Linked DNA regions of Lonchura striata. The protein of the gene in region 2 purifies or fractionates together with the protein of the main gene of each other region. This does not show direct contact. Links are inferred from orthologs where the notes say so. Each region holds a gene or a part of one and is shown on either strand. Other genes may lie near its edges.

Evidence for each region.
Region 1: the proteins of SBF2 (region 2) and MTMR1 purify together in Homo sapiens (affinity purification with mass spectrometry; 3 studies listed by BioGRID and IntAct, with this or other methods). This does not show direct contact. The link is inferred for Lonchura striata from reciprocal best matches to the Homo sapiens genes SBF2 and MTMR1.

Annotation. Positions count from the first base shown.
Region 1 is NC_134616.1:12,504,184-12,520,659, reverse strand, and holds the start of MTMR1 (phosphatidylinositol-3-phosphate phosphatase MTMR1), read left to right. Parts: upstream 1-8,429; 5' UTR 8,430-8,531; intron 8,532-11,720; 5' UTR 11,721-11,826; intron 11,827-14,335; 5' UTR 14,336-14,359; intron 14,360-16,476. Other genes in the region: MTM1 (myotubularin), read left to right, coding at 1,302-1,394, 2,211-2,324, 2,635-2,811, 5,063-5,230. UniProt on the Homo sapiens protein: Lipid phosphatase that specifically dephosphorylates the D-3 position of phosphatidylinositol 3-phosphate, generating phosphatidylinositol. Could also dephosphorylate phosphatidylinositol 3,5-bisphosphate to produce phosphatidylinositol 5-phosphate.
Region 2 is NC_134608.1:51,960,471-51,976,572, reverse strand, and holds the start of SBF2 (myotubularin-related protein 13), read left to right. Parts: upstream 1-9,488; 5' UTR 9,489-9,637; coding exon 9,638-9,692; intron 9,693-16,102. Other genes in the region: ADM (pro-adrenomedullin), read right to left, coding at 1,781-2,084, 2,560-2,700, 3,014-3,111. UniProt on the Homo sapiens protein: Guanine nucleotide exchange factor (GEF) which activates RAB21 and possibly RAB28. Promotes the exchange of GDP to GTP, converting inactive GDP-bound Rab proteins into their active GTP-bound form.

The DNA.
Region 1 (16,476 bases), on a different chromosome or scaffold from region 2:
CAATTTGGATTATTTAATATGAAATATCCAAATAGTAGGCTACTTAATAGTTCCTCTCCATATTTCATATCAAATGAGGTGAGCAATAAGTTTCCTTATGGTAAAGGAATTCCCTACCCCACTTTTCTGTGTGTGCTGAATTTTATGCACTGTCCAGATAAATTTGCTTATGTGGAATTTAATTCTAATTATGTATTAAAATATGAGACATAATTATAGATGGAAAATAGACACTGTAAAACTGCTAACTATAGTGGAAGTGGACAGACTTTCACTCCTTACTAAACACATATATGACTCTTAATAGATAACAAGTATTTCAAACCATGAAAACTGAAGAGCAAGGAAGCCAATGTGGTTGTCTTCTTTATAGCCCTTTTCTAGTAATTTGTCACCGTTGACTGAGTTCAGCTGCAATTCCTCATCTCCCTCTATTTCCTCCCATTCAATTCTATTATTTTAAACTATCTTGCAAGCCACTATAGAGAGGAGTGTACTGCTCTTATGATTCTTCATGTCCTTGAGGCATTAAGCTTGCTATCTTATAGGCAGATAGACAACATCTTAGGTCAACACACCTGCTTTTCTTTTGCCTCCTCCAGCAAGTACATTCAAACAGAATGGAATTATGGAATGCAAAACTATTTTTCCCTGAATCTCTTACCTGTTCTCAGCTATCATATGCAAAAAGGAAGTAAAACAGCTTTTACCAAGTCTGCTTTTTGTCAGTGGGACAAATTCCTTTGATTGTTACTTTGGGCACTTCAGAATAAGAGGCTCACCCAAACTTTAATAATTTTGTGTCAAGAACATGAACGTTTTTTTGATCTTGTTCATGTTTGCCTACTATCTCCAGGTGAATGTTAAGGTTCTGGTATGGAGGAGAAAAAAAAGATTATGTGTGAATAATTTGATGATCTAGGTCCTGCAGTGGCTTAAAGTAAAAAAGAAGACAAAGTATGCAACTTGGGTTTTGACAGACTTACCATGTAAATGTAGTTCAGAATATGTCTTGATTATTCAAGTAATGGATGCTTCAACAGTTCTTGTCTAAAAATCAGCAGGTTTTTATAACAGCACCATTTATCAGTTTGGAATTCTTTTCAGATATCTTTGGAACAGCTTTGCAGTATTTCTGTATCTGAGTCTCTCTACCTTGGTGCAGTAACTACTTTTGAAATTATAACAGTGGGTTGCTTTATTGCAAAAGAATTAATGCTGGAGTACAAAATAAGAAAACATGTCTGTTTCCATAAAATACCATGTTTCAGTTAACAGGAGGCTGCTTTGCTTCATTTCAGAGAATAGGCCATGGTGATAAAAATCATGCTGATACAGACAGATCGCCCATCTTTCTCCAGTTTATTGACTGTGTGTGGCAGATGTCTAAACAGGTATGTGGTGTTGTTCTTCAGTAGGTAACAGTGTGAAGAGATTACTGAACTAAAACCCAACATCTTTATTTTTTCTTTTGAAAAAAGTATTTGAAGAGGACAGCATACCCCTCTGCTCTGACCAGTAGTAAAAAAAGAGTGCATTTACCTTGGTGAAAGTGATATACAGGCTGTGGTTATGTTGCTGGATATGGCCCTAGCTGTGCAGGCATGGCTGGTGTTCCTGGATACAGGATTCTCAGAGACATTCTGAGGGATGTTTCACACCCGGCAGAAAGCTTTTACAGGAATTGCACCCAATTGTCTTAATGGAATCTGTTGTTTTGTTTGACCATTTTGTGAAGCTGTCCCTTGAACTGCAAGGACATGTCTTATTTTATCTATGCTTAAAAAGGAAGCTAGGGAGCTTCTGAGTGCTGTGATTTAAACATTTTAATGTCAGTAAGTAATGAAACAAAGCAGTGAACTTAGTCCACTTAGGGCTAAAGGATCGGGACCTTTATTTTCCTGTATGGTGCTGCAATGTAAGAGTGCACTGAAGAGATCTTGTTCTGTCTTGCTAGTAAAAGTACCATTCTGTACTTTATTCTTTTTATAAATTAAAGGTAGGTAGAATGCTTTGAGAAGAGATTTTTCAGTGGCTTGTTTGAGAAAGCTGAACACCTTGTGTCATTAGAACACTTAGTCTGCTATAAAATACATAAAAGTATTACCTAAAAAATTTTTTGTAGAGGTATCCACACTTCTAAACGTTACTTTCAGCATATTCCCCGGCATTTTCCATGTAAACAATGAGTTTGTCTTTCCTGGTTTTAGTTTCCTACAGCCTTTGAATTCAATGAGCAGTTCCTGATTACAATCCTGGATCACTTGTACAGCTGCCGGTTTGGCACTTTCTTGTATAACAGCGAGTTCCTCAGAGAAAAAGAGGTTAGTCAAACCACTGCTTGTGTCATTGCATTGCTGTCTTTAGGTGATTGCAAAATTTTTGGTTGTATTGTATTTGGTTATGGTCCTTGCAGACAGTGATTTTGAACTGGCTTTCTTCATACAGAATACTGCCATGCAGTCACTAAAATACTTGTCAAGCATTGGGTTTGGAATTTTTTAATACAGTAATTTATTATGCCTTTAAGTAAACCAGAAGTGTACTAATTTTAGAATGTAACAATGATGGATTTCTATGATGAATCTTGATTTTATGTCAGTATTTACTGTTCTTATTTTGATTTCATTTTAGAAAGTGACAGAGAAAACTTTATCCTTATGGTCTCTGATAAACAGTGAAAAATCTAAATACACCAATCCTTTTTATAGTAAAGAGCTAAATCGAGCACTCTATCCAGTAGCCAGCATGCGTCATTTAGAGCTCTGGGTTAATTACTACATCAGGTGGAACCCCAGGATTCGGCAACAAGTAAGTGAATTCTCTATAATGTACAGAAAATGCTGTTGGACATTGGAAATAAGGATTTTGTCATAACTGACTTGTAGAGCAGTACCTGTAATCTATTCAGGTCTTTAATATTATATTTGTAAAGATAGAGAAAAAAAGTGTAAGTAATTATTTAGCTGTCTCTTAGCTCATTGAACTTATTTCCCTGCTTAGTAGCAAGTCTTCCTTGAGTTCTTTCTAGCCCTTTTTCTTGGGCACATGTGCAAGGGCATTTTGCTACTAAATCCTGAATGACAATGCTTAGAAATGAGGCTTGCTGATCCCTGAAGAGCTGGGGCATTAGCAACACAAACACATTTGCATTTGCTTGGTCTTTTTCCTTTTGCTGAGAGAGGGTATGAAACAATTTACAAATTAAATTACCTGTTGAGTCATTGAGCCTTTCTCTTCCAAAGCTCTACGAATTGATGGTAAGATTTAATTTTTTTATGTAACATTGATGACCCAGCATTGTTTACACTGTGGATGAAAGCTGTTATTGAAAATTGTACAAGTAGATCAGATTGGAAGTCCAGAAAAGATTTTATCAAATGACACATAGCTCACTTCTGTGGCTTTACTCCATATGGATGGACACTCAGTGTTTGTTACAGTCCTGCTGGAAATCTCAGCCATGTGGCACATAAAGATTTTATATAGAGACTTTTTTGTCCTTTTTAACAGCTTGTGGAGATTTGAGTAGGAGAAGATAGAGGAGCAATTTGTTTGACAGAAGCACTCTTCACAGTCCAGCCCTTGGAATGAGTCAGTAGTTTTCAAGCAATACACTTCCTTTTCCACAGCTGATCTCCTGTATTATTTACAGCACTTTAGAGGCTTCAGGAAAGCCTTGGTAGTTTGCTATGGCTTTTTACAAGTACATTGCCTATTGGAATTGAAAGTCATGGTCTTAAAGCTTTTGTTGCTTGCTGTGAAAGATGAGTATGTTTTGCAAAAAGTGAATGTAAAGATTTATTTTAGAAAGTGAAGGATTATAAGACATGCAAATTAGCTGTAGATCTACTTAAAAATGCAGTTTGCCATTATTCAGGAAAGCTTTTTGGCAGAAGTTTCTCCTTAGAAATGCAAACCCAAGTGACGGTATTCCTATAGCACTACGCTACTACTGGTCCCTAATTTTCACCATTGTTGTACACAAAATGCAACTTTTTTTTCTGCATGTGAAATTTATTGTAAAATTATTTCATCTTTTGTTAAGCAACTGAATAATGAACATGTGGGTTGAACCATTTTTTTATTACCTTTCTTAATGCCATTCCTTAGAATTATGTTCTGCTAGCAAAACTATAATCCTACATCACCAGTCATCTTAGTATTCAGCATTGATCCAGTTTCCATAGTTGCCTCAGCATTCATCTTGATCCTGAGATGGGTGCATAGTGAGTGGTGCATCTCAGAGTGCTGGTTCAACTGGTTTTGAACTGGTGAGGTGAGGTGTTCAAGCATTTGCTGCTGAAACTCCATTGCTGATAGCTTTGAATTACAGGCAGTTAACTGCGAAACAACTTCTAGACAGGTATATTCAGCTGAAGGTAACTTTAGGCTCTCTCTCTCTGCTTTGGACATTTGTAATAGTTCTTTTCCATTTGTTTCATTAGTCTGAAAAGGAAGTTAAGTTCAAAGTGGAAACAGTTAAAAGGCTTTTTCTGAGTAATCTCCTGAAAGCCAGAGCAGTTGATTCTAAACACGTGCAAGTTTACTTAGAGAACTCACTAATAAAAATTTTTATTTCACTTGTTTATTTACACTAAGTTGTAAATTAACTATTAAAAACTCAAGTCAATTTAATCAGTGAGAGAAGTTATTTAAGCTGAAGACACGGATCTCAATCTGATCAATGTAGCTAAAATAATCAGGCTACTGTTTTAGGGAAGATGCTGAGACATTTGGCTTCTGGACTCTAAAACCTTTTAGTAAATCAAGAAAAAATCTTTGGTCAAGGTATACAAGTAACTATCTTGCACACAATATTAGCTAACAAGAAAATAAAATCTATATGTTCCAGCTGATTTTACTGAGTTGGGACAAACAATTTTGTGCAAAGATGGACTTTGGGGGAGGCAGCTGGAAGGCCGAGGCCTCTCAGGTTACAGCAATGGGTATTTCTGTTTAGCTCTGACTGCTACACCTGCCAGGAAGCCCTGGCTACTCGAGCAGCCTGTGTGCAAGTAGTTGGAGTGAAGTGCTAAGACTAACGTGGATCTCTTCCTAGCAGCCAAACCCCGTGGAGCAGCGCTACATGGAGCTCCTTGCGTTGCGTGATGATTATATCAGGAGACTTGAAGAGCTTCAGATCACAAATAATTCTAAGATATCCAATTCATCAGCCTCATCAACATCTCCCTCACAAATGGTGTCCCAAGTACAAACACATTTTTGAAGAAAATGTTGGCTTCTTTCTATACTGTAACAGCAAGTGGTGCTTAACATAGATCTATAGCATAAAGAGGAATATTCTAATGCCTTACATTAGACTGTCCTAACACAAATTATTTTAGACTGTCTTCATTTGAGGAGGACTTCAAAACAAACAAACCCAACTCTTTGATTATGTGCCTTTCAGAACCTGTGGACTGGGAACATTATTAATCAGCTCATAGCCATGGAGGGCTTTGAGTTATTTTGGTAGGTCTGGTACAATTGAAATTAAATTGATTTATTGTTTTCATAAGAATGCTTTAATTTATTACATTTTAGTAAGGAAATTCATGCTCAGTCTTACATGTCATGAATAAACATAATAATGGTAATAGGAATATTGATGTTGTATAAAATTAGGTATATCTTTATTCCTGTTAGGAATACATTCATGATGTTCAGGAGAGAAAAATAAATTTGCAAGGTGTCAGAGAAAAATGTTGAAACTTTGATTACCCAAAAATTCCAGATTTTCCTTTTTTTAAATAAACAGAAATATGGAAGGCATTTCACTGATATGCTTCTAAATAAAAAATTCAAATAGCTCAGTAGATAGCAAAATAAAATGAGCTTTTTATTGTAAATTGATTTTAGTTTTTTTAAAAACAAATTAAAGTTGTACTGGTTTCTGAGAAGTTCTGTTTGGACTAGCTGTTCAGCACTAAAGTACAGTACAAATTATCACTATCTTGGAATATTACAGAATTAAATGTTTCCAAAAGGTTTATAAAATGAAAAACAGAACCACAGAGACATTTCTTAAATATCCAGCAATAGCCATAGTGTTAAAGCTTCTGTTTGTCTTCTAAACATAAATGTGCCTGTTCCAAGGAGCTTTTATACCAAAGTAGACAAAAATTATCAGTCATAAATAATTTTGAAAACTTGTACATTTATACTTTACTGTTTAACTCCTGTTCAGCAAATTCATTCTAAAGTATTTAAGGGGCTTCAGTATCCAAGTTTTGCATATAGTGTGTGCACTTATATTGAACATTCAAGTGAGTTCTAGTATCAAGCCTGCCTTTCAGAGACTTTTTATAAATCTTTAATTTGTTCCTTTCAGGTAATTTTTAAATAGTTGCAAGCATTTCTTATGACAGTACAAACTTTGCTGTTGATATTTAATTAAAATTTTGCATATTCTCAGAAGTTTAATGATATTCAAGCAATCCAGGAAATACTACAAATCAGAATCTGTAAAGGACTCTAATATTGTTATTTTAAAGGAAATATTTTGATGCTTGAGGCTTCTGTCATTGTAAATTATTGTACATGTGGTGAGTTTTGATCTGCAAGATATAATAGGATTATATATAAATTAAGTTTTGTGTAAGTGTATATAATATAGTTTATTAGAAATTCTGCAAGTTTATAAAGTGTAAATATTTTGTATATGAAAACTAAATCTAAAGGTATAGTTGGATAAAGTAAGTCAAAATTTAGAGGACATTGAATATTTAAAACAGTATTTTTTTCAAAGGAATAAAAATATACCGCCTCTGGATTTAATTCAGTATATGCACTGAGTTGTACTATGTTTTCAGGGAAGTTCAGAGCATACAACATGTGTGTTCTAAATATGCAGAATTATATGACTTTTGTCCTCTAAATGTCATTCTCCCATCTATGCTCTCCAGTATGTGTATCCAAAATAACAATGTTGTCCCCCAATCATGACTTGCTAAGATTCATTGCATCAGATAAATGAAGAAGGATACTTAGTTGTCCATGATGCATTTTACATTTTGAAAGCTATGCATACTCTGGTATATTTGCCTTCTACTTACTTGTGGTTTATTTAAAGAAAAAAGCGCTATTTTTATTAGAATATTTAAAATTTCTGTATTTGAGTTTAACATATTGGTGACATCTCTGAGCGGTGTGAAAAAGTTCTGAAAATCTAATAGTTTTTACTGTGTAAACACTACATGATAACCTATTACATTTGGGAAAGTAATGTAATGGAAAGGATCTTTTTGCACTTACTTTATTACGTATTACTTTGTTCATATTGCTCTTCAGCCGAATTTGTCTTTAAAGCTCTCTAACATGGCTCTGTGCGGGCTTGGAATTTTTCAAGTCAGCAAATAAGATACATGTTTTAATTGTTTTTACATATGAGACCAACATAAAGGTGATTTTAATCCAGTATGTTCTGGAAAATACTACTTGTGAATGTAGGCATACAAACTTACCAATGCTAGCAGAACATCTCTCTCCTTCCCCTGTAACTGGGTGTTCTGGGCTGTTGTTCTGCACAGACCTCCCGTCCTCTGTGCACGCTCATCCCTGCCAGGAGCACACCCGGGGAAGCTTCTGAGGTCGTGATGAAACTTGCAGGCGCTGAGTGCCTTTTCTAGGAGGGGTGAAAAAGCAGAGCTGGGGTGTCATCATCACCAGCAATGAATGCCCGATATCCCGTAAGAAATGTCAGTCTTGGAATGCTAGTTTAGGTTTTTTGTATTCTTCCTTCCACGGACATGAGAAGAATAAGCTAAGCTAAATGGGTTTCTGTTACTTATTTAGAAAGGTTTTTGTTGAATGCCTTCTTTATTTGCTCATGCCTTACCCTTCCCCCCAGCATCAGTTACGGCTGTACCCAAGACGTGGCGTGTGTGCTACCTCCTTTTGATGTATTGTTAACCTCTGCCTTGAGTTCAGGTGTTGTGTCGCAGCGAGCATTCTGTCATGCATGAGAACACGCGCTCGGTAACAGCGCAGGATCTCCTCAGTGCTGCCTTCCTCACTACCCGTGTGGGCCGCTCTCCGTGGATGCCGCGGGACTGCTCTGCAGCCGGGCCCTGTGTGCCGGGCCTTGGGCGAACATCCTCCGTCTGCCGTGTATGTGCGGGGAGGGGACAATAAAGATGTCAGTGCTGAACCCCGTGCCTCCAGCAGCCCTTTTCGCGGCGCGTCTCCGTGCTGGGCGGGACGGGCGGGCGGGAGCTGCCGGCCCTCGCCCGGCCCGGCCCGCCCGCCCTCGCGGGAGGCGCGGGGGCCTCTGGGAAGGCGCCGCCGCCGCTGACAGCGCTCGGCGCTGCCGGGGCCGCGGCGGGCCGGGCTGTGGCGGGAGGGCCGGGCTGTGGCGGGCGGGCGGGAGGGCGCCGCCATCCCCGCGGCGCGGCCGGAGCCATGGAGCGGGCGGCGGCGGCGGGGCCGGCGGTGGAGGGCGGCGGCGCCAGCCGGCGAGCCGTGCGGGCGGGGGGCGCCGCGGCGGCGGGCGCGGGGTCGCGGCAGCCCAGCACCGAGACGCTGGACAGGTGAGCGGGGCCGGCGGCCGGGGACGGCCCCGGCGGAGCGGGCGGCGGGAGAGCGGGCGGCGCGGCCTGCGGGGCCGGCCGGGGCAGGCGGCGGGCGCCCCTCGGCCCGAGCCTCGGCCGAGCGCGGTCCCCCGGCCTCGGGGCGGCCTCCCGGACCCCTCCGGCCGAGCAGCTGGGGCTGCAGGCGGGGACCCGGCCGTGTCAGAGATTCCTCCTGCGCTTGCCGTGTGCCGGCGGTGCCGCCGCCTCGGCCGAGGCTGAGGCGGCCGCGGGGCTCTGGCCCGGGGCTGTGGCAGCGTCCTGCAAACCTGAGCCGCGACCGGGGGCTGAGCTCCGCGGGTTTTCAGGCTCTTCCTCGTTGGTTTGCGGTTTTTTTTCCCGTGCGTATATTTAATCTGCAGAGGGGCACCGCTAATCTGTCCCCAGGCGCCGCTGTGCCTCTCAGTATGCAGTGTGTCCCGGAATGCTGTCAGTGTGTGCCCTGTGCCCTGGTGTGTGTGTGTGTCTGTGTGTCAGTGTGTGCCCTGTGCCCTGGTGTGTGTGTGTGTGTCAGTGTGTGCCCTGTGTCCTGGTGTATGTGTGTCAGTGTGTGCTCTGTGCCCTGGTGTGTGTGTGTGTGTGTCAGTGTGTGCTCTGTGCCCTGGTGTGTGTCAGTGTGTGCTCTGTGTCCCTGGTGTGTGTGTGTGTCAGTGTGTGCTCTGTGTCCTGGTGTATGTGTGTCAGTGTGTGCTCTGTGTCCTGGTGTGTGTGTGTCAGTGTGTGCTCTGTGTCCCTGGTGTGTGTGTGTCTGTGTGTCAGTGTGTGCGCTGTGCCCTGGTGTGTGTGTGTCAGTGTGTGCTCTGTGTCCCTGGTGTGTGTGTGTGTCAGTGTGTGCACTGTGCCGTGGTGTGTGTCTGTGTGTCCGGGTGTGCACTGTGCCCTGGTGTGTGTCTGTGTGTCCGGGTGTGCACTGTGCCCTGGTGTGTGTCTGTGTGTCAGTGTGTGCACTGTGCCCTGGTGTGTGTCTTTAAGGGTGTGTGGTGGGTCCACAGGGTCTCACCAGGGCGGTGCCAAGTGGGACCACATCTCCTCTGGCAGCCACTGGCAGAGACATTACTTCACTCAGAAGTTTTCAGCTGAAGGTGGGCTACAGAACTGAGCTTAAAAATACTTTAACATGGAATACAAGTGAATGGAAATCTCACCTTGATGAAAACTGAACAAAAAAGAATATTTTAAATCAGTGCTAGGTTCCAGTCTCTGTATTCTCTCTTTTTTCTCTTAGTAGAAATCTGGTGGTTTACATCATTCTAGTGAGGATGGAAATCAAATGTCCATTTTCTGTCATAAAAGTATACCCCTTTGTATTCCTTATTAATGCACTTCCTTATCCTAATTCTCATTTTCCTTTTTTCTGATCTTGCTCTTTCCTGAGCCAGTTTTATGTCCATTTGTCATAGAGTTCACTTATTTGCCAGTACGGTTGTGGCAGGCCAGGCTAATGTGTGTGACTGCAAATGAGACAATGCAAAGGCAGTCAGTGCTGCTGTGTGTCCCACTGGTGCATAGGAGAAGGCACACTGGTGTGATCAGTGTTCTGTGGAACACTGACACGTCCCCTGGTCTCAGGGGATGGGCCTGCATTCATATTCGTTTTCCTGCTGTTATTAGCTCTGTTGATGTAGTGATTCTTTGTGAAGATAAGCCATAGAAAAATAAATCCCCTTCTTAATTAACAAGTGAGTGCTTATTTGAAAACAAACTTAGGCAAGCCCTGGAAGAGCTACACTGGAGATTAAAGAGATGTGAAAGAAGGAGAAATAAATGAGATAAGAAAAGGGTTTCTGTAGGATTTAGGTGTTGGACTCTTTTGCAGAACTTAAGTGAAGAGTTCTCTAAATCTGGGTTGAGGTTCAGCACTAGCCTGAGAGTTGTCTTTGTTGTTCAAGCAGGACTATCATAGATGTGTTTAGTTGCAAAACAAGATTGTGAGATTTAGTTTTGTGTAGAATGTGAACGTGGGGAGAAAGCTATTAAAATTAATCAGAAAAGTTTTGAAAGATCTTCCATTTCAGGTGTGACGTTGTTGCCTGGATCTGTGCCTTACACCTAGCTATAGTGGCAGAGTTAACATAAGGAAAAACCTCTTTTTCAGTAGGAATTGGTCATCCAAGGCTGTTAACCCAATCTCTTAATGTCTGAGGTGTGGTGCACCTGCTGGGTGCTGGGTATATATAAGTATATTCACTTCAGTGTCATGGAGCATTCATAGCATACAAAGGTAGTTTATGAATTAACTAAAACAAACAAAATTTTTTTTCTTTCTGTATTTGACTACTGAATAAGCATTCAATCTGTAGGAAAGCACAGCTGAATGGTTTGAAGAAAAGTGGCAGTTATCTAAGATAGTGTCTGAAGCTGCAGTAACACTCAGGGAACAGTTCCCTCTGGCATTCCCAGTTTTTCCTTGGATACCAGTGAGTGTTGCAGCAGACCTAGTACACTTAAGACTGTCATTGGTTCTCCCTGTCAGTACTGCATTACTTGAGAGCAGCACTGGTTCAGGGGGCTGTTCTGAAATTGCATCACCTGGGCTTTGGTGCATTTCAGATGCTTTGGGGTTCCTGTAAACACTCTGTGCTGTACAATTCAGTGCTGTGATATGTAAAAGCCCAGCCTGAAGATTATCCAGGGTTATTTCATAAATTGGAAAAAACTGCAGTTAACTAGAAGTTGCCCTTTAAAAAACATGTATTTTCAACATTTAATATAGAATACAATATTAGCATAGTTTAAAATTTTTAATACTAGCATGAAGTAATTAAATTCTGAGGATTTACTGAATGACCAGGACATATTCATAAGGACAGTATAAGGAGTTTCCTATTACTTGGCCAAACTCTTTTCGTGGATGGCTTTAAGAAAAAAGCATGTGAATGGTGAAAATTACACTGGATAAGAAACAGAACATTTTCTATGCTCTTAGGACCCTAACCTCACTTTTAACCCCCTGACAGCTCTGTGTCTCTGACATGATCTAGTAAAATTCTTTTACATAATTTGATCAATAAAACAGTTGTATTCTGCCCACAAGGTAAACTAAGTTTTATGATGTTAGTGATAATTTACAGTGTTGCTTTCTGGATCTGTGCTGTTCAAAATACACATTTTAAATTACTGCTAAATAATTTGAAATTTCTGGTTTTGTAGCCCGACTGGATCCCACGTGGAATGGTGTAAACAGCTGATAGCTGCAACCATTTCGAGTCAGATTTCAGGGTCTGTCCCATCAGAGAGTGTGTCCAGAGACTACAGGGTAAGTGACTTGAGGAATGCATTGATAGTTTTAAGATACAAGAGTGGAAGATGGGGAAAGTCCTTTCTATCTTGATTAGCCAATGGTAAGTACTTGAGTGATCACTGAGTATTTCAGAACTAGAAACATCTCATTATGAATTGGAGTCTCTTGAATTTGCTTCCTGTTTTCCTCCATATTTATAATAGTGCCATTGAAGTCTACAGAATAAAAATTAAGAGAGAAGTGAAAGGAAATTTTAAAAGTCAATGTTTTGAATAAAACATCATAAGTGAGTTGTCTTTTCTTTTGATTACTATGTAAAATAATTAGTAAAGTAGATTATAGTTAAAGGTTGAAATGGTTTCTAGTGTGTGTTATTCAGAGTACAGAATTGAACTCCTCAGATTCCACAAAAAATAAATGAATGTCCTAGTTACTATGCAGGGAACATAATTGAGTCTGATTTTTATGGGGTTTCTCTAGAGACACAGAATTTAACATCAAACAAACAAGTCTCCTTTTTCATTCCTTTCCAGCAACATTTTTAACATTTTTGTCACCAAGGTAATGACTGCACAGTGTGGTTTCTCAGAGTTACACTGTGCTTTTGTGCCCCTGTTCTTTCACACTGACTGCCTGTTCCCTTCATGCAGCCACTCAGCTCAGCTGTCAAGAATGGACCATGGGCAGTTTTTCTCCTCTCACAATGTGACAAAAGTTACCCATGTTTCAATTCCCTTTAAGAAGCCCAACTTGCTGCTGTCTAGATCCTTTTTTCTTCCTAGATATGTAACAGTTTTATTGTCTTCATAGAGAGTGACCACAGGAAGGTTTTTATCTCTTTTTTTGTTTCCTTTTAACTAGATTTTAATTCACATATGCTCTGTGATTACAAAGTATGTTGTCTGGAAACAGCATATTTTAGATTGAGTGACAGCAGGTAAGATTCAGCCTGAGTCTGAGATGAGTCCAAAAAATGTTTTTGGCTGTAGTGTGTTTAAAGTTCAACCTCAGCAGAGTTTCACACTGTTGGCACAGTCAGCAGTTTGTAAAGAGTAGATCTCCCATACTACAGCAGCTGAATTGCAAATGCTTCCTCCAGGTCAAGGCCATCTTTTTTGGTAAAACACTGTGAGAAACCTTACATTTCATCTGTTGATGATGTATTTGCCAAGGGTTTCATTTCAGTAAAACCCATGTGTATAAGCTTGGTGTTCAGTTTATCTCTGAGTAAAATTCATTCCTCTGGAATGAAGAGCACTATTCAATCTTGAGTAACTTCCATCTCTATACCAAACTCATCTCAGGTATTATTTAACAGGAATAAATCTTTTAAGGCCTAATTAAAATTCTACTTCATTCTCTATCTCTGAGAAATGGAAGAAAAGGATTTAAGCCTGATTATTAAATTAAGAATTTTTGTGGATAAATTGTATTTGGCATCATCTCATTGCTGTGATTTGAAATCCCATATTTGTATATAACATGATGGAATTTTTTATAGTTGCTTACTCAGTACCACTAACAGGTTGTGTTCATTCATTATTGCTATGGAATCCAGACACGAAAAGACAATGCCCATATGATAGCTCAGTTTTCCTTTGAGACATCTTTCTCTTTTGATGTGCTTTCTTGGGTCTTCATTACCTTTGGTTACCTCAAATTGCTGCATTTAGAGACTTACAACTCAGAGCCTTCAGATCGGGCCAGATGGGTTTGTTTTCTTCTGGAGCTGGTCAGGCAGTTCTGTTAGTTTGTGCTGGATTTACCAGGAACTCGTTGCTTTATTCTCTCTTTTTTTGTTGTTTAAATTAATATGCTTGGAAAACCAGGTAAATATATTGATTCTTGTGCCTAACAGCATTACTTCATGTTACTCTTATGTGATTTACCTTACCAGGGAGGAGGGAAGCAAAGGGGCAGCTAATGGAGTGGTCAAAACTGGAGAGCACTGGAGGAGCTCTTGCTTGCTAAGCTCTACAGGAACAGTGATCTCAATCTGAGTTGAGCTCTGCTTTGTGTGTCTTTTCTGACACATGCTCTGCCTGCAGAGTGTTCTTGAATGAGGGGCTCATATAAATGAAAATGGCTCAGATTGCTAACCACAAACACCTTCAGAAGTTGAGAAGAATTGTCTTTTTCTGAAAGGTCGGGTGCCTCTCCTTCATGGTTGTTAGTGCAGGCTTATTGTCTTCCACCTAGAAGGATTACCAGGCTCTTTCTTCTCTTTTAACAATAGCACAGTGTAGCAGGATAAGAGGGTGATTAGGAATGAATGTTTTCAAAGAGCTTGGAATTTGTTGCATCACTAAAATTAAGTGTCTGAGATTTTTTTTTAGACCAAAACAATTCTGCAAATGAGAGTTACTAGTTCTGCATAGTTTTGCTTTGTTCTTTCAAAGTCCAGCTATAATTAAAATGTTTGGGAGTCGAATTCTTTTGAAAATCTGATGAAATAAGATGTAGTATCTTTAACAAATCAAATCTATGTGTTTCATTGGATGCTATTTTATATTTTAACTAACAGGTGTACAGGAGGCCAGTTATACGGGTAAGATTACCTTTGGCTAGCAGTGAACAGCCTCCTACCTGTGTGTCTCTTGTGCTGTGTGAGATCTTGGTGTGTCAAGCATTTTTTACCTCATTAGTGGGTTTTATGAACCAGTCAGGCCATTTTGCTATGCAGTGCTAGAGCTTCTTTGCCACAAAAGTGCTTTATATACTTTACAATGTTTTCATGAGCAATGAAAGTCAGTATGTAAGAGAGCAATATTTTAAAATTACGTTATGAATGTGCAATACTAACTTCAGTTTTGTTACATTAATTTTGACAAAATGGATGCTTGCAGTTCAGGTTTACGTGCTTCAGACTGCAGAGTACTGTGTTAGCAGCTCTAACATGTCTGTGCTAAAGAATACCAGTGATAAAAGCATTATGTCTGTGTCTGTCCTATTTAAGTAAGTTCCAAATTCATGCTTGCCTTTGTACTTGTTTTAATTTAGTTTTTACCAAGCTGTGATAGGATTGAAAGTTAGGTTTAAGTTAGGCACTAGTGCAATGACATACATCTTTTTAATTATAATTTTGAGTCTAGGAGTTGCCCACTGTTTATTGAAGATTAAAAAGGGCATGCTTTGTTTTCTTGCCCCTCTCTCTTAGTAACATTTATGGAGTGAGAAATGATCTGGATAGTGTTCTGACATTGTTCATGAAATGCGTCCAACACTTCTATTTCAACAAAGACCTCTTGTTCAGTCTGAAACCAAGAGATGAAGTCTGAATGGTTTCTTTTTCTCATCTCTTGTTTACCTATTTTAAAATGATGTGTTTAGTCCAATCATACAAATCCACAAATTGATCTTAGGTTTTCTTTTGAATAGATAGCATTTCAAATAATTACTCTGAGTAACAAAAACTGGTTTTGTTCAGTTGTTCCCACTTCTATGTAAAGGCTTTGATATTTAAACGGTCTGCTCTGCTGCTTTTGTCTTCCATATATTTAAATTTTTTTTGGTGTATTCGCACATTGTCCTGCTGGTTTTCTTCCAGAGATCACAATGTCTACTTTTCTTCAGTTTCAGAAACAACATAATTATGACCTGAAATTTAAGTAATTTCTAGATGGCAGAATTCTACCCATACCTAAATGTTAGTGACATTATAACTTTATAACTTGAAAAGGTTTTTTAATTACTTACAACTTTTTTTAACGCATGTAGAGTTCAAATTATCTGAAGATATCTGAAGTTTTCCTTCTAAACTGTTTCTTGAGGGTTCTGAAGAAATACTGTAAAAATTAACTTCTAACAAACACTTGTAAATATAGACTGAAGCTGGTTTTACAGTCTGACCAAGTGAGAAGTTCTTTGCATTTGAACTGGGAGTAATAGACTGTCATGAGTACAGCTTCTCTCCAGTTGTTAAAGAAAGAAGACGGAAGAACATTTTTGGCTGAACATGTTAAAATAATTCTTTCAGCTGACCCGATGACATTTGTGCTTCTCTCTAGTGTGCAAAAGGACCTTATGTTTATTAAAGAAATTGAACTAATGTTCAGGATTTGCTGCCAATGATGCAAAAATAAATTACCATGAAAATGTGAATTGTTTGCATATTTTGCTATGAATAGTAATTTTAGATTCTGTAAAGTTACTGGCCAAGTTTCAAACAACAACATAGAAGTTACTAAAAAGATATGTAAAACTGTAAGATTGAGAGTTCAGTTACAACATGTTTTACACAGCAAAGCTTTTTTAAGTGTCTAGGTACTTCTATTTGATGTCGACCTATTTTTTTCTGTGAAAGATTGCATGAGTTTTCCATAATGCTGCCATTGCAAGTTGTACTCAATTTCTTCTATTGATAAGCATGTTGCATACTGAAATTAATTTTCTTCATTGTAAGGTTATTTGTCTTAAAAAGACAGTACATACTTTTATGTTCTTATCTACCAGCACTGACTCTTTTGTGAAAAAGGGAGTAAATTTTTCATTTTGTGTTGTGCCAAGTAGCATTCAAAGGATGGTGCTAATAGCTTGGATTCCCTTCTGTGGAAAGTAGTTTGTGCCAGGAGTGGAAGATTTTGGAAAGCTAAACTGGAGTTAAAGTATATGCTGTCTTTTTAAGGAAATTTTAAAAAGGGAAACAAAAAAAGATAAGATTCTGTC
Region 2 (16,102 bases):
CATCAATAGATCCCCACCCAAGGTTTTTGCAGCAGTTTCCTGGAAAGGTATCATTGCCACTTCTTTTCATTTTTTCTTGTAAATATATGTTCTTGAGGAATTTAATATTAGGTAAAAAAAAATTAAATCCCCACTTCATTTTTTCTAAAGGCATTGAGTTCTGCTGTTCCCCAGTCCTCTCCTGTATATGTTGACTATGTTCAGAGACATGGTAAAATAGAGGAAATGCTTTATTTCACCCAATAAGTTATTCAAATACACTTGTTTAGGTTTTAGGTTTGTTTTCTTGGAGTGCAAGGAGTAGACACCAATAGATGGTGCTGGTGGTGCATTAATAAGGTTCAGCTTCACATTTGTTTTCTGGTCTGTGCTTGGAATTTGTTAAAAAAAAAAAAGAGAAAGAGAGAACAAAACAAAACAACAAAAAAGAGCAAAACAACAAAATCCCTCATGCTAAGCTTTTATCCAAAATGTTCTCCCCACACTGAACCGGTCACCGTTTAACTTTAACCTGAACTGTGGCCCAGGAAATCCTTCAACATAAATAACCTTGGAAGCTGCCATGACCATTTTTGGAACGTGCTGCCTCAATAAATCTGTTACTTTGTTGTGCAATGTTGAAGTGTGCAGTTGTTTCTCTGATTAATTAGGGCAAAAAATAAACTTGCACGATCGATCCAAGCTGTGACACGTTTCAGCCCTGGCTTGAATGTGTGGGCAGAAGAGCCTTAGAGCCTTCTCCACAGACCTGCCCTGGAAGTTTTGGATGCATTGCTGACTCGGAGTTTACTCCATTTGGTGAGATAAGGTGGCTGCTGACAAAGTCTGCGAGGGAAGAGTTTTGGTCTGTGCCAGGACTGCCGTTCTAGCTTAGCATGAGTAGGACTGAGCACACTGAGAAATTATTCATCTTGACCACTGCCCCCACTAAAGACAACATAACTGAAGTGGTTTATGTAATTGTGTTTATTTTATTTCACATATTACCCATGGAGAACAGCTGATACATTCTCTATATCTTTCACCAGTCTGGAATGCAAGATTAAAAAAAGGTATGGAAAAAGAGTTTAACGTTTGACATTCACGATATGAAAAATAGAGGGGATACAATGTTTTAAAATGCCCTTATGCAATATATATATATTTATATATATAAACCGTATAAAAATAAAATATATTTTTCAAAAAAAAAAAAACCCAAAAACTTCATGGCACAGAACAATCTTAAATACCGATGCATATCTCGTGATCCACACACACCGCACTTATAATTAACAAAAACCACGTACAATTGCACTTTTCCTCTCTGTGACGTTCAAGTATATCGCAGTCCCCGCAGGGACTAATGAGTGTCCGATTCCCTGCCGGGTGCACATAACGCAGAGGGTAGAGCAGATGTGGGCGGCCTGTCCTTGCCCACGGCTGACGCGCACCCTCCGACCCTCGGGGGCAGAGGGCGAGGCCGGGGCCCGTCGCCCACCGGCGGGTCCCCCCTGAGCATCCCCTCCTCGGGGCGGCGGGGCGCGGGAGGGCGGCCAGGGCCGCCCGGCCCCCGGGAGCAGCGGCGGCGCCTTGGCGGCGCGGGCTGCGGCGGCTGCGGAGCCGGCGGTGCCCGGCCCGGCAGGGCCAGAGTCCGTGGCGGGCGGGGGGCGCAGCGTCCGCTGCCCTTCTCAGCTCCCCCGAGGGCGCGCCGGGGTCCCGCCCGGGCAGACGCTCTCCGCGAATCCTGGCGGATCTCAGTCCATCCGTCGAGGCGGCCTCGGCCGGGTCTTGCGGCGCTTCAGACTCCCAGGACGGCGGCGAGGGGCTGCGCCCGGCGCGTCCGCGGGCGCCGCCCGGAGCTGCGGGAGCGCGCTGGGCTGCGGCGCTCGGGCAGGGAGCGTCGCCGGCGGCCGTAGCCCTGAGGACTGATCTTGTTTGGAGGGGCGGCATCGTTCCTATCGTTGACGGCCGCCCTGTGGAGCTCGTCGACCAGCCAATGCACCGTGCACGTCCCGAAGCGGCACGCCTTTGTTTGGAAGTGGGGGAATCTGTTAATGCTCTGGCGGTAGCGCTTGACGCGGATGTGAGCATCCTCCCGGTTGCTGCAGGAAGAGAGAGAGCGCATGAGAAGAGCGCAGTGGGGGCCCGGAGGAGGGGACCCGGTGGGCGAGGGGAGGGGAGGGCAGAGGGCCCCCAGGCTGGAGACGGGCTCGTCCCCACGGTGCCCAGCAGTCCCGGCTGTGCCCTCCGCGGGAGCGCGGAGCACAGCCTGCTGCCCATGCGAGGAGAGGCCCCGCCGCTTTACGGCTGTTACTTTTCCCTATGCATCCAGGGCTCGAGTTACTATTTATATCTGACTTTCACGGCAAAGGCGCTACTATCTCCCGCCAGCTAAAGAGCGCAGGGAAAGGAAGGCGGGAGGCTGCTTTCAGCGCGATGCGCAGCCCGGACAGGACCTGCCTCTGGGGCGGGGAGGATCTTCAGCGAGAATAACCCTAAACACCCGGAAACGAGGGGACCCCGAAACTTTCCAATGTCTCGAGCAAGTGCCCGAACCCAAGAAGGGCTGGAATTTACCTGGAAGGCGAGACTCGGGAATCCTCCTTCACGTCCTGGGTGCGTATGAGAGGCAGCACGTCGGCGGCTGCCCCCAGCCCTCGGAGCAAGCCCGCAGGCTTCACGTCCCGCTTGGCTCGGCTTAGTGCCCATTTCGTCCATCTGAAAGAGCACAAGGGAAGAGGAGAGCCTGTTATCGCAAGTCTGCAGGGGCGGGAGCCAAACCAAATAGATTCGAGAGGCGAAAAACTTTGCCAGCGCCGAGATTTTTTTTTCCTTTTTTTTTTTTTTTTTCTTTTTTTTTTTTTTTTTTCCTCCCCGCAAAGTTTCCTGAAAGGGCACGAGGCCTTTAAGGAGCTGAGCAATTCCTGCAGGGAATCCAGTGCCTGTGATCGCTGCCGGAGCCAGGCGCGGGGGCTCGGCAGCTCGACGCGCGGCGCGGGGCGCTGGCAGGAGGGCGCGCTCCGATACTCACTTTCTTTTGAACTCTGTCGCTACGTCCACTCTTGCAGCATCCACCCCGAAGAAAGTCACAGAGCCGAGATAGAGCAGGGCTACGTGAAGTAGTTTCATTCTGGCTGGGCTCCTGCTGGAAGGGAAAGGGCAGAACTATAAGCATGCTTGCTAACAAAAGTCAAGTAAGGACTGTCCTTTATTCCTGGTGATTCCAGAGACCTCCTTCCCTCGCAGAGCCCCCAGGCTACCGGGGACTTTGTGTCTGATATGAACCAGAAGCTAATATTTGCTCAACAACTTATCACAGAGTAAATAACAGAGCCTCCAAAGTTTACGTTTGTCGAGAGTTTAGTTGCAGAGGCGGCTGAAAACCAGCAGGATTTCCAGAATACCCCCAGCGGCTTGCACTAGGATTTAGCAAACCCACAGGATCAGAGAGAGCTGGCTATCGGACGCATCGTTTCCAAACTCCAGCAAGTGTTTTGATGCCGGGAAGTTTATTCCCTGATAGCTCCTCTTCCCAATTCACACGCAGAACCAACTGGTTCTGGATCTTATGTTGTGAACTGCAGCTGATGCCAAGAGCCAGTGCAAGACTCCACAGCATAACTCCAAACTCTTCCAAACAGTCCAAATTTAGTAGAATTTTACTTGCGTTCCACCTCCCCTGAATCTTTTGTTGCTGCCAAGGACGGGGGGAAAAAATAGCTCTTACCTGACAGTGAGGATAATCCACTGAGACAAATGTTTTTGTAGTAGCGATCCGAGCTCGCAGGGTTTCCTGAGAAGAGAGAACTCCTCCTTTGTGTGTATGTGTGTGTGTGTGAAGTAATCACTGCCGAGCTCTGCGCTCCACTGCTCGCTTTTATAGAGCAGCGCTGAGAAGTGGGTGGACCTTGGCGTGGCTGGGCGATCTCTCTTTTGGCACCCCCCACCCCCACATTTCAAGCACTCCTTAAGCATTCTGACCTGGATTGGGGGCAACACGGAGGGGGGAAAAGAGGATTATTGAAAATTGTCTTCAACAACCCCCTTGGTATTTTGTTAATTATAACGGCAGCTTTTAGGATCCTGAGTTATGGCACAACTTGCAAAATCCGATGAGCCCCTCAGCCTGTTTTACTGGGGACAGACATTTTAACCGTCAAAATATAATTATATTTATGCTGTCTGTAGCATAATTTCTCATTCTAGACATCTTAGCTTCAGGTGGGTGAAAGCAGGGGAGTGGAAACCGGATTCAATTAAATCTAAAATCCATGAAAATCAATCAAATATCAAAGTTCCAAAAATAAACCCATATTTGGACAACGTGAATTTATGATGAGTAACTGGAATGACAGCCTTCTTTACATAAGTAATGAGGTGGCAAATCGGGCATCATTAATATTTATGACAACTTGGGTGCATTTTTTATCTAACAAAATGAATTTTATTTACTTGATCGATTCAAGTAGATCACGACTCAAATGGTTTTGGCAGATGAAGGTTAGAGGCCAGTTCTGTGCCTTGGAACAGAGCAAGTGGCATTGCTTTCAGGCAAACACAGGGTCACTGAAGCGCCTGGGGTTACGGGCGCTGGGAAGATCCGCCGTGCCTTGTGCTATTCCCTATCCGCAAACCTCACGGACGTGAGTGCGGTTACTTCCCGGTCAGATAGCTGAACCAGTGCAGGATCGGGGTCTCTTACAGCGTTCTCCTGGCTGGCCAGCAGCAAAACCTTAGTCTGACCACCTTGTTGTTGGGTTTTTTACAGTCTTTAACGCCTTTGCTCCGTGACGCTTCAGAAATGCAGAGGTCCGGCTTCGCAGGGGGTGCTGGAAGCCAGCAGCGGAGGGACCGTGTCTCCGCTTACTTGTCGCAGTGCAAATTCGGCGGGACCGAGGGAAATGCCCCGGGAGATCTGCGCCCTGGGGCGCCAGGGTCCCCTGGCCAGCGAGAGACTTTCGGCGGGAAGGAATGAGCTGGTGAGATGTTCCTCTCGCATCTTGCCCCAAGCAAAGCGTTTCAAAAGTCAGGTGAGTGAGTGTGTGCTCGTGACTGTGCCTTTCTAGATAACCGCGGTATATAACAACACCCCGGAGAGGTATGTGCAAGGGGGATGACGGAAACTTTCCTGTGCACGGCTCACTCGGTCTAAGGCGCTCTCTTCCCTCCCTCCCTCCGCTCCCCAGCAGCGTCCAGACATCTGGAGCTTTCTGTCTCCGGCATCTACCTGTGCGGGACAGGCTGGCCCGGCAGCCGGGGAGGGCCAGCACTGCCTGTCGCTGCTCCCCATGGCACCAGCCGGCCGCCCCTCTGCCCCGAGCCCCCTGCGCGGCTCTCGCGGGGCGAGGCCGGTGCCCCGGGCCGGAGCCGGCCGCCGGGCGAGCCCGGATCCGCGGTCCGCCGCACCTGCCCGGCCGAGCGCGGGGCGGAGGCGGCGGCGGCCCCGGAGCGCCGGCAGCCCGCGGGGCTCGCCCCGTCCCTTCCGCCCGCAGCCCCGCGGAGCCGCAGCCCCGTGCCCGCGCCTCGGACCGGCTCCGGAGCACCGACGGGCAGAGCGAGAGGCTCGGGGGGAAACAGGCAGGAAGAAACAGGCGAATAAGTGGTCTAGAACGGGACCGGATCGTGACCAGAGCTGCATCATCCCGGGATGGCTGGATTTTAGAGACCTCATGAGCCAGCTCAAGCTCGTGCGGGTTCAAGCATTTCCTTGATTAGCAGAAGTTGAAACAGAATCTTTTTTTTTTTTTTTTTCTCGAATGAGAAGGCAGGATTTTATGTGATAAGCATTGCTTTGACTCAAATTAAGTCTCCCATTCCAGTAAAAAAAAAAAAAAAAAAAAAAAAAAAAATCACATATTTCCTCAAATGCTGGAAACCCCCTCATTAAAATCCTTGGCTTAAACGGAAAGTGTATTTTGTATACTCTAAGCCAAACAATGAAGAAAAAAATTCCTAGTGATTTAGGATCATTAATAACAGTAGTAACACAACTCTCATGTGCCTTCCATACTGACTGTAACTATCATCTCAGTGATACAAAATTACTTCAAGTAAATTCATGAGGTGGCAAACTCTGACACATAGATGATCAGTTTGTTGCTGATATGATTTGTGAAAGGGCGTCAGCAGGTAAAGCTTGTTCAAATCTACCACAAAACATCATGTTCTTTGTTCAGATGCTCATTTTGTTCTTTCTATGAACTTGCATTCTCATGCAGTTTGGAAATGAGCAATAGTCACTAAATTGGTACTATGATGTAACAGTGGCCACTTAAAAAAAAAATATACCACAAATAGTTATTTCCTTAAAAAACAGACAAACAAACAAACAATTCCACAGAATGTTCCACAGCAATATCATTCACAAGCTGTGAGTCTGAGGCAATGCCAAGCAGTTCAGCAAGACCACTGTGTGATGTGAAGTGCAGGGTCTCCTGGATGCTGCCTCATCCGTGATGGGAAGCTGGCCTGGAGGAGCAGCCAGCCCCTGTTTACTGCTTATCTTGGGTGTACCATTCAACCTCTTAGTGTTCCCATACAGAAGACTTTACAACAAGTATCTGCTCTGCCAGGGACATGGTGAATATGAGTTGCTGTTAATAGAGAATTTTATTCAGGTTGAGATTGATTAGAAAAGGTCTAAAATCTGTGGGTAGCAACGGGGAATCATTGTGAGACAAATATTCTGTGCTGATTATGGAAGAAAACTGTTGTTTGAAGCCAGTGGAAGTGCCTTTGCATGTTTCACTTTGTTTAAACAAATTGTTCTGAATTCATATGCCATGAGTATGAATAGACTGGATTGTATTTCAGGCTGCATGAAATCAGCAGAAAGATAATACTAATAGGAGAATGGCACCCCCTGAAGGATGTAAAACCTCAATCAAGCTCCAAACAGAAAAACCTTACTGTACTCAGCCAGTTCTCTCAGTGCCAAGAGCACAGCAACAAAGGGGTGATTCCATTTTGGTAGTCTTGTTGGAGGTGCTTTGGTGAGCCTTATGTCTGACAGCTCTGACTATACCAAACAAAGCCTCCAAAGTCAGTGGGGGATGTCTATTGGTAGGGGAAAACCTGGTCAGGGACATGGCTGCCCCCTGTTCTGGCATAGGTTGGGGTGACACTGGCTAGAGACTGCAGGCAGTGTGAATTCCCTGTTTCCTGAAGGAGGAGTGAAATGTAGAAGGTATTGTGGATGTTCACACCTTGTTGTTGGCAAGTGCACAATGTGAGTGTGGCAACATTGTCCCTTGAGTGCTTTCAGGCTCTTGGAGAGGCTGCAGCCTTGCAATTGTTCCCCTGGGTTAAGTACATGAGTAGGGGCTTGTGGAGACCTGTGCCTTGGTGTCCTCTGTGAGCCCCTGCTTCTCCTGTGAGGAGCCAGGCTACCCTGCTGCAAGTGAAGGAATGGTGGTCTGGATGAACATTCAGTTTAACTTTCCATTAGAATTTAGGTGAACAAACACTGTATCTGTTCCACTTCTTCATAAGTCCTAAAAGAATGTAAGATTGCTCTATACTTAAGGGAAGTTGCCCAAAGAAGTTGTGGATGCCACATCCCTGGAAGTGTTTGTGGTGTGGTTGGATGGGTCTGAGCAACCTGGTCTAGTGGAATGTGTCCCTGCCTGTAGCCAGGGGGTGGTTGGAACAGGATGTCTTTAATATCCCTCCTGACCCAAACCATTCTGTGATTCTGTGAATAAATAAGCTCAACTGAACTTTCTATTTCTTATTTAAGACGTGCCACTTCTTATAAACTTTGGCTGTCCTGATCTAGATGGCAGAAGGAGCAAGGCTGTAAAGTGAGCACTATCATTATTGCAAAATCACTAAATAAACATCTTTCTCTTAAACCAGCATTTATTAAGGAAAGGTGTGAGTGATTCTCTCCTGCTAGAGGTGCTGTATTAAAAGGGCAGTGAGATTTTACTATTGAGATTTGTTATTGCATATTGAACCTTTTTATGGATGCAGATACAATAACTCTAAGGTCCTATTTCAGCTCCAAATTAGGTAATTTCTTAGTGTCTTTAAACTTTCGCTCCAGGTTTAGATGTACAAAACATTATCCTTTGTTTTTGTGAACTGTTGTTGTGTCCTACAACCAAAATGCCTATGCACAACTTAACAAAGATATTCCTACCTAACTTCTAGCTAGAAGAAGTGACTGATCCCACAGAGTGCATCCCTTTCTCAAAAAGTATGGTCAATCTTTTTGATGTATATATGACACATTTTTCTTTACTCCTAAACAAGGAAATGTATTAGGATTGGATCTTTACACATGTAATTTTCTTCAAAACAGCTAAATCACGAAGCTGATGACTCCGAGGAGATGTCAACCTCTGCCCTCCGCTGAGAAGGCACAAGTGGGAACACTGCTTGAAGCTTCCTGTCAAATTTGCATCTGGCTTAGCAGCAAGACACTGCATCACCATGTCCCAGCTACGAGGTGTAAGAACGGCGTGTTTGAAGCAGAAATGTCTCTGAGACCACTAAGGACTGTTTGCTGGGTCAGGGTGGATCGTCAGGAGCCAGTTTGCTGCACTTGCACACTCAGCCCAGCATCCACGACTGCTCCTCGCTGGAGCGCAACCCATGTCCTCTGCGCTGGCTCTTCTGTGCTGTCATACGGGACATACATAGACGCTTATCAGAGTGGTTTCTGCAGGCTCCGCCAGCGACCCAAGCGCTGCACTGTCCGCGCGTGTAACCTCAGCATCTCCGCGACTGCTGGCAAAGTCCACTGTGCTTTCGAGGGCCACGGTCCTAAAGGCGCCCGCCTCATCTGCACGTTACAAACAGCACCGCGGCAGCTCCCGGCGCGGCCTCGCTGAGCGCCCCGGCGGCCGCCGCCCGTGCCCGGGCCAGCACGTCCGAGGTCCCGCGGGTCACGCCGAGGCGCCGCTGGGCAGCGCCCGCGGGGAGCAGCGGGGCCGGGCCGGGGACCCGTGCCGACCCTCGGCACCGCCACGGAGCTGAGCGGGGCCGCGGCACGGCTGCCCCCGCACACCCCGGACAAAGCGTGACCGGGACACTTCTGGAAGCGCAATCCCCGATTCCCCAGGCCGGGCTGGCGGGGCCGCCGTTCTCTCGCCGCCGGCTTCCATTTCCGCGGAGGCTCGGCGAGGGCGATGCCCGGCGCCGGCTGCTCCCCGCGGGAGCGGCGAGCGCAGCGCCGCTCAAACGCTTGCGTCTCCCCGGGCACGCGGAGCGCTCCGACCCGCCGCCAGCGTCTGTCGTAAGGGGAACGAGCCCCGCGCCCGCTGCCCCCGGGCGGCCGCCGCGCAGGGGGAGGTTGCCGGGAGACAAAGCCCCGCGCGGGCGGGGCGCGGACCTCCCCCGCCGGGCCCTCCCCGCCCGCGGGGGCTGCGCAGGGAGGCCGCGGCGGCGGCGCGGCGTCCCGGCACGGCGGTCGGGCCGGGGCAGCGGCACTGCGGGACGGCCGGGCCGGGCCGCCCCAGCCCCCGCCCAGCCCCGGGGTCACGGCGAGCGGTCCGGGCGGCGCGCAGGCGCACGGCGTGCCCGCGCCTCCAACATGGCTGAGGTGGTGCCGCTCCTCCTGCGGCGGGCGCGGAGCGGAGGATGCTGAGCCTGCCCCGAGCCGCCGCCGCAGCCGCTGGGGTGGTGAGGCCGAGCCGCGCCCCGCGCAGCCATGGCCAGGCTGGCCGACTACTTCATCGTGGTGGGCTATGACCACGAGAAGACAGGTAGGTGTGGCTGCGCGCAGCGCTGCCCCGCCGCGCCTGGCCGCTCCCCGCGCTCCTGCCCGGCCCCGGCCCCCGCCCGCCTCCGGCCGGGCCGCGGGAGGAGGAGACTGCGGCGCGCACGGGGCGCGCGTCCGGCCGGGGGAGGAGGGGGCGAGCCAAGGGTTAATCCCCCTTGCCCGACGGGGAAGCGGCGGGGCTCCGGCACCGACCGGCCGGGGCAGCCCCGCCCGCCGGGAGCGGCTGCGGCTCCTTCCCGGGAGCGCGGGCAGGTTCAAACGGGGCCCGCGGCCGTGCCGGGCCCGGCGGCCGGAGCCGCGGGGCAGCGCCGGGGCTGCCGCTCCCCACCTGCGTCCCGCCGGCCGCGGCGCGACAGCCGCGCCCCCCGGCAGAACAAAGGCTGCGCTCGGCGAGCGGCGGCTTTGCCCCGTCTGGCTGCGCACCCATCGCCTGTTGAGCGGGGCCGCGGCCCCCGGGGAGCGCCGCACGCCGAATGGGGACGGAATGGGTGCTCTTCCTAAAGCCTCGGGATGCGCCCTGCCTGCTGGGGGGAAAGGGAAGTGGTGTTATCTGCTGGCGTTTTGTGGGCAGAGAGAGAGTGGTTTGTGTTACGTAACTCTCCGTTATGGTACCAGCTTTGTTGCTGCAGAGACCTCAAATGAGTGTTTAAACTGACTGGAAAACGAAGTGATCGTCAACTGGATTGTGTTTGTGCTGCGTATTTCAGAGCGATCCTTTGAATGTATGTTGTTAATAAACAATATTTTAAACAGTCGAATGTTCCCTAATTTATTTGACCATGCATAAACCAAACAACACTCAAGTTTGTTACTCAGAGTAATTCTTTGAAGTAGCAATTGCGTGTCATCTATATCTGTTCATTTGAAAAGTGCAGCTAATAAACTCAGATCATGTTTTTTTTTTTTTAAGAAATACAATTTTTAGAGACATCATTTTATTTGTGGGTTTAAAGATGCAATATCTTACAAAGTTCTGCTAAGATGTCTTGGATTTTACTATTCTGCAATTATCATTCTATTAATTACATCCTGGCTTCCTCTCCCACTCCATTTGATAATAGGTTTGTCCTAATTGTACTGTCAAAATCAAGCCGTGTGAAATAGGAAGTATTTTATTTTAAAAATAAAGACCTTTTGTCTCTCTCCTGTTTGGAACATTTCCCCTGACAAAGTAAAGAGAACCCAAATCAAAACAAGCAACCAGAAAACCCAGATGTGCTTTTAAGAAGACAAAGCAAGTAGGATGCTTAGGGTATGATCAATCTGACAGAGTATGTGAAGTGAAATTACAGATTGCATTGGAAAGCTTTATGTCTGTAAAATGTCTTCATCTGTGGCATTTAAATATGTGTTTAACTTCCTATACATAAATTGTCTCATGAAGGTTGGTAGAATTGCTTGCATGGGTGAAATTGAGCAGATTCAGAAATAAATTCTGAACCTTAATTTAAAAAGGTCATGCCCAGAAAGTAATTGTTTAGACTCTATTATTTAAATTACTTGTTGCTACTTTAATGCTTCGTAAGAAAAATGCTTGAAGGAACAACATTCTATTGAAGACTAGGCATGCATTGTTTTCCAAATTCCTTTACCCCCACATGCAATCCCATCATACATGGAGTACTGACCTTTATTTTTCTTAAAAAACTAGTTTTTTTGATGCACTTATTATGCTTCCTGTTATATGAAAAGCAGGGACAAACATTTCTAGGATTATAGACTAGCTACCCTTGAAACTTTTATATTTTTAAGTATGTTCCTTTTTTTTCTAATTTTTTTTCATCTGCATCTACCTTCTGGCTTGGTTTTAATGTGCTTGATTTGAATGCTGAGTGTAATTACATTTTGCAGTGTTTTCCTTTTCCTTTTTTTCCCAGGCATAATCTGTGGAATAGCTTTGTGTAAACAAGCAAACAAAAATGTTGTACCCTTCCCCCCAACCTGTGTGTCAGCAGCATTTGGGTGATAAACATTTGTGGTTTATAGGGAAGGGTGTTTATAGTAGTGACTGCTCTCCCAGGAAAGCCCCACTGTGTCTTCTGGCTCTCCTCTCACTGCTTTTATGGATTGATTTACATGTGCCAATATCTTACCCCTGAAAATGTGGTAAAGGTGCTGATTTTCTGGCTTTACTCAAAAAACATTTGCTGTAAATATCTAAAATGCAGTGTTAGTGCAGTTTAGGAGCAGATTGGTCGATTTTTCTTGTTTTGGAACAACTTTGTTACTGATGGTACAAGTTTTTATCCAGCGTAGTCTTCGGGGGAAGTGAAGAGTTTTACTGTCCTTGAATAAACCAGAGAGTGTCCTTTGGGAATCAAGCTTTTGAAAGTCCATTCCTATTCTGGTCTAGGCCTGTGTAAATTGATGTTACAGCAGCCCTAGAGCTGCCATTCCTATTGTGTTAAGTCTTCTTTTGGATCCAGCTCACTTTAGGATACTGACCCATCCAAAAGACCTTTCTTGCTGGGTGTGTTACCTGTGTTGCTGCATTGTCCTTGAATGACTTTCCTGCCCATTTTTCAAACAGTGTTGGCTCATCAGGATGTCAGATGAATGCCAGTATTGGCATGAAGGAGGGTCAGGAACGTGCTGACAGACAGATCAATGCACCCTGAATTTAGATCAGCCTAAATGGTCCTAAAGCCTTGGGCACAAAGGTGTTAGTGAGGTGCCTTAGTCTCCTACCTGCTCCAAGGAGACCAAGGGGAGTCCCTGGATCATTTGCCTGCCAGGCAGTTCATTTGTGCTTGGCAAGTTGCACAGAGGCTCTGCCCGGGAGGAGAAGGAGCTTTGCTGTTGACAAGTGTCAGTGGAATTGCAGGCACTTGGGAGTTGGGAAGGCTTTGTGTTGTTGAGGATGACCTGACTCACCCAGCTTTTTCTGTGTTTCAGGTACACTGCTCTGTATTACCACTTGAGTTGCTCGGTCTGTGTTTCTCACCATAAAAGTGAGCTGATCATAGTTTTGATGGCTGTTTTGTATTTTAAGATCCCGTCCTGAGCCACTGCTCAGAACGGCAGCAGCAGTAGCTGCTGGCAGCAGTGTGTGTTAAGTGTCCTGACAGCGTTGGAGAAACCAGATTTATAAATCCCCCAGCTTTACTAAACTCCTTTTTTTTTTTTTTTGTGGGTTTTTTTTTTTTTTTTTTTTTTTTTTTTTTTTGTTCTAACAGTGAAGGCATGAGGGAGGATTTCAGGGACACTTTTTCAGAGTAAAGCAATCAACCTTGGTGTATTTTGCCTTCAGCTGAACCTTGGCTGAGGTAGATAACCACATTTCCCCCCCAGCATATCAGCACAGTATAAAGCTGTTACATAACTGGCTACAAAAGGCACTTAGAGAAGTCTCTGAAAGGAGCAAAGGTGCTACCAAATGTAGGCATTCTGGGTCAACAGCTAGGAGAAATCCCAGGAGGCATTACTGTTCATGCATTTTATTTTTTTCATGGGTTTTGAAGTGTGTTTGATGTGCTTCACCAAAAAATTCTCATTTAATATGTCTGAATAATGGAATGTGGATGGGATTTAGGAAGAACACAGATGTTTGTAAAGATCACAGAAGGGCATGAGAAAATGCCTTTTTTTTTTTTTTTTTTTTTTTTTTTTTTTTTTTTTTTGCTTTGCTGGTATAAGCCCTAATGATAAATTTATCCCTAGAATGTACATCCAGTGATACTTGGAAAAGGTAAAAGAGAGAACATGCTGTGTCTTCCTTAGCTCAGCAGCTGAAAGGTAAGGATAAAGAAGAGGGGATCCAAAGACTGGATTTGATTAATTATCCCATACACCTGTAGCAGCTTTCCTGTAGGATGCTGTTTTGTACCCAGAAGTTAAAGGAGAAAACCTGTGAGGTGGAGCAAGATATTTTCTGTGAGGTTTGGTTGCTCTAAGAGGACAGAGAAGTGCTTTGCTCTTGATTCTGTGTGCAGTTGCAATGTGTAGGACAGAAGGCTTGCAACAGTATAGCAGTTTAATTTGGCTGTTGTCACAACTGATAAATGCTGGTATAACATGTGTAGGCTCTGTTGTGGTTGTTTCTGTTCTGATTTTTATCAACTCCTCTTCAGGGAAGCCTTTATTGTGTAACATAGCTTTGTATCTCAGAGGATTTTGAAACAAGACAAGTGATTGTTGATGGAGTGGGAGAAATTTCTAAATGGAGTTGTCTGATTCTTTTGTTTATTTTCCCGTGAGGAGATTTTGCCTGCGAAGAATATAATATCATGAGGATTTTCTGGTGTATTTGCTGTGTATTCACAGATGGGCATTCCACTGAGCTAGTGTGTGTATAAGGAGTGGATGATTGCTTGATGCCATGACATGCAATCTCTGTAAAACAAAATGTAGAAAAATAAAGGAATAAAGCTGTTACTTCAGTGGCTTTCTTATCTGTGCTGTGGCTTAATTTGATTCAAATGCAATCCAGGGAAATCTCAAAGGGATTAAAAAAGCAACAAAAACTAAATCCTTATTATGGCAGGAGAATTTTTGTAGCTGGGATGAAGCATCAGATGTAGTGCTGGAAGTGGAGCAGCATGCAGGAGTGTGCCTGGCTGCTGCTAGGAGATGGCTGCAGGTGGCTATGGCTGCGTAGGGCATGGCAGCCCAAAGGACTTGCCAACAAATTAGTTGATCAGTCAATGAAATTATGTCTTCCTTGTGCTTTCCTTTTCAAATACAGCAGATTCCACAATACTGTACTGAAACAGAATGAGGAAAAAATATTTCCATTGCATATGGTTTTGTTTGTTTTGATTGTGGTGGTTTTTGTTTCTTTGTTTGGTTTTGTTTTTTTTGTGAGATAAAGCTCTCTTGAAAGTCTGCTTGGAGGACCCCCAGTATTTTTTGGTAGCATGTATTCCTACAGATATTCAAGCAGTTTCTTCTAGTACATAATGTTGACTAAATTATTTCGATTTTGGTTTATGAATTTATCATTTTGGAGAAATCTTAAAATCAGCAGAGATTATGGAGATCTTCTTTCCCTTACACGTCTGTAATGAACGTTTCTAAAGAACTTGGATTTTAGACTCTTTACTCACTCAGTCTTGCCATTATAATATCAACAACAATAAAAATACTTCTTTTTCAGCCTTTCATTTTAAACTGAAGTATTCCTGGAGGCTGATTTTTTTTTTTTTCATTGTAAGCTGTCTTTATTTGTTCTGAAATATGAGGACAAAGATTATGTTCAGGGAAGTAGCATTTCCTATCTTTGTGACTACATTGCAGTCAAGGAACTCTCTCTTCCCTGTTCTGTCCTGGATTAACTTCGTGGATTATCTGACAAAAAGACACTTTTCCTGCAGCCTGTTCATGGAAAACAGTTTGTTATGCAAGCCTGAATAATGTGTAAGCCCTGGCCTTCTATAACCACAATCATATTTTTCAGTGGAGGGACAATGAGACTGACATTTAACTTGTCCAATGTCCCAAACATAACAGTCTTGTCTTGTAACAGTGAGGAATGGAATTATGCTGCTGTGGTAGTTCTCTGCCATCAATTTAAAGTAGCAGCTACCTCCCCAGTTCCTGGTGCTCACAGAGGAGAACCACAGCCACTGTGGAATCATTTGTAAAATGTGTAACAGCAGATTCAGCCTCGATAGCTGTCAGTGAAAGTTGTATCCTGAAATATGTACTGGTGAGTAGGAGCTTTTCCTCTGGTTCATCTCTCCTCTTACTGCTCTTTGCAGTAGCATGAGAATTTCAGACTCCTTGCTTCTATAGTGAAAAAAATTATTTCTAACAACAGAATTATCAGTATTGATGAGATTAATTTTCTTTTGCTTGGTGTTTTGGGAATTGTGTTCCATTTATATGTGTTTGTTGAAATAAATTACTCCTGTGGTGTCAGTGGTATGTTCTGAAGTCGAGGACAATCCAATTAGTGTTGATTGGGATTTGGCAGCTAAATCCCTGCTCATTGAGCCAAGAACATGCTGGTTATTGCTGATCTGCTAGTGACTAGATAGATCCTGATTTCATGTCTCTAATGTTCACAGTTCTCAGTTTTCAGTCTTCTGCAAAATGAATACTATGAAAAAATGCAATAATTGAACAGAGCTTGAATTCTTTGTTTCCTTTTTGGTAGTGTTGTGCTTAAGGTGTCAAAGTAACCACAGAATTTCCACTGAGCTGGATGTGGCTGACGGGCTGTCACTCCTGCAGCCAGAACCAGCACTTGGTGACAGTATTATCTGGAGTTGTGTGTAGCTGTTGTGGAGGAAAGCTGAGATAAAGAAAAAACAAGCTCGTCATAATTCTGGATACAAATTCAGGATAGTTGCATGCAAAACCCCATTGGACCATGGGAGACCTCAGTGGATAAAAAGAGACAAAGGAATGTTACTGGGCTTACAAAATCAATCACTCAGAAAGAAATTCAAG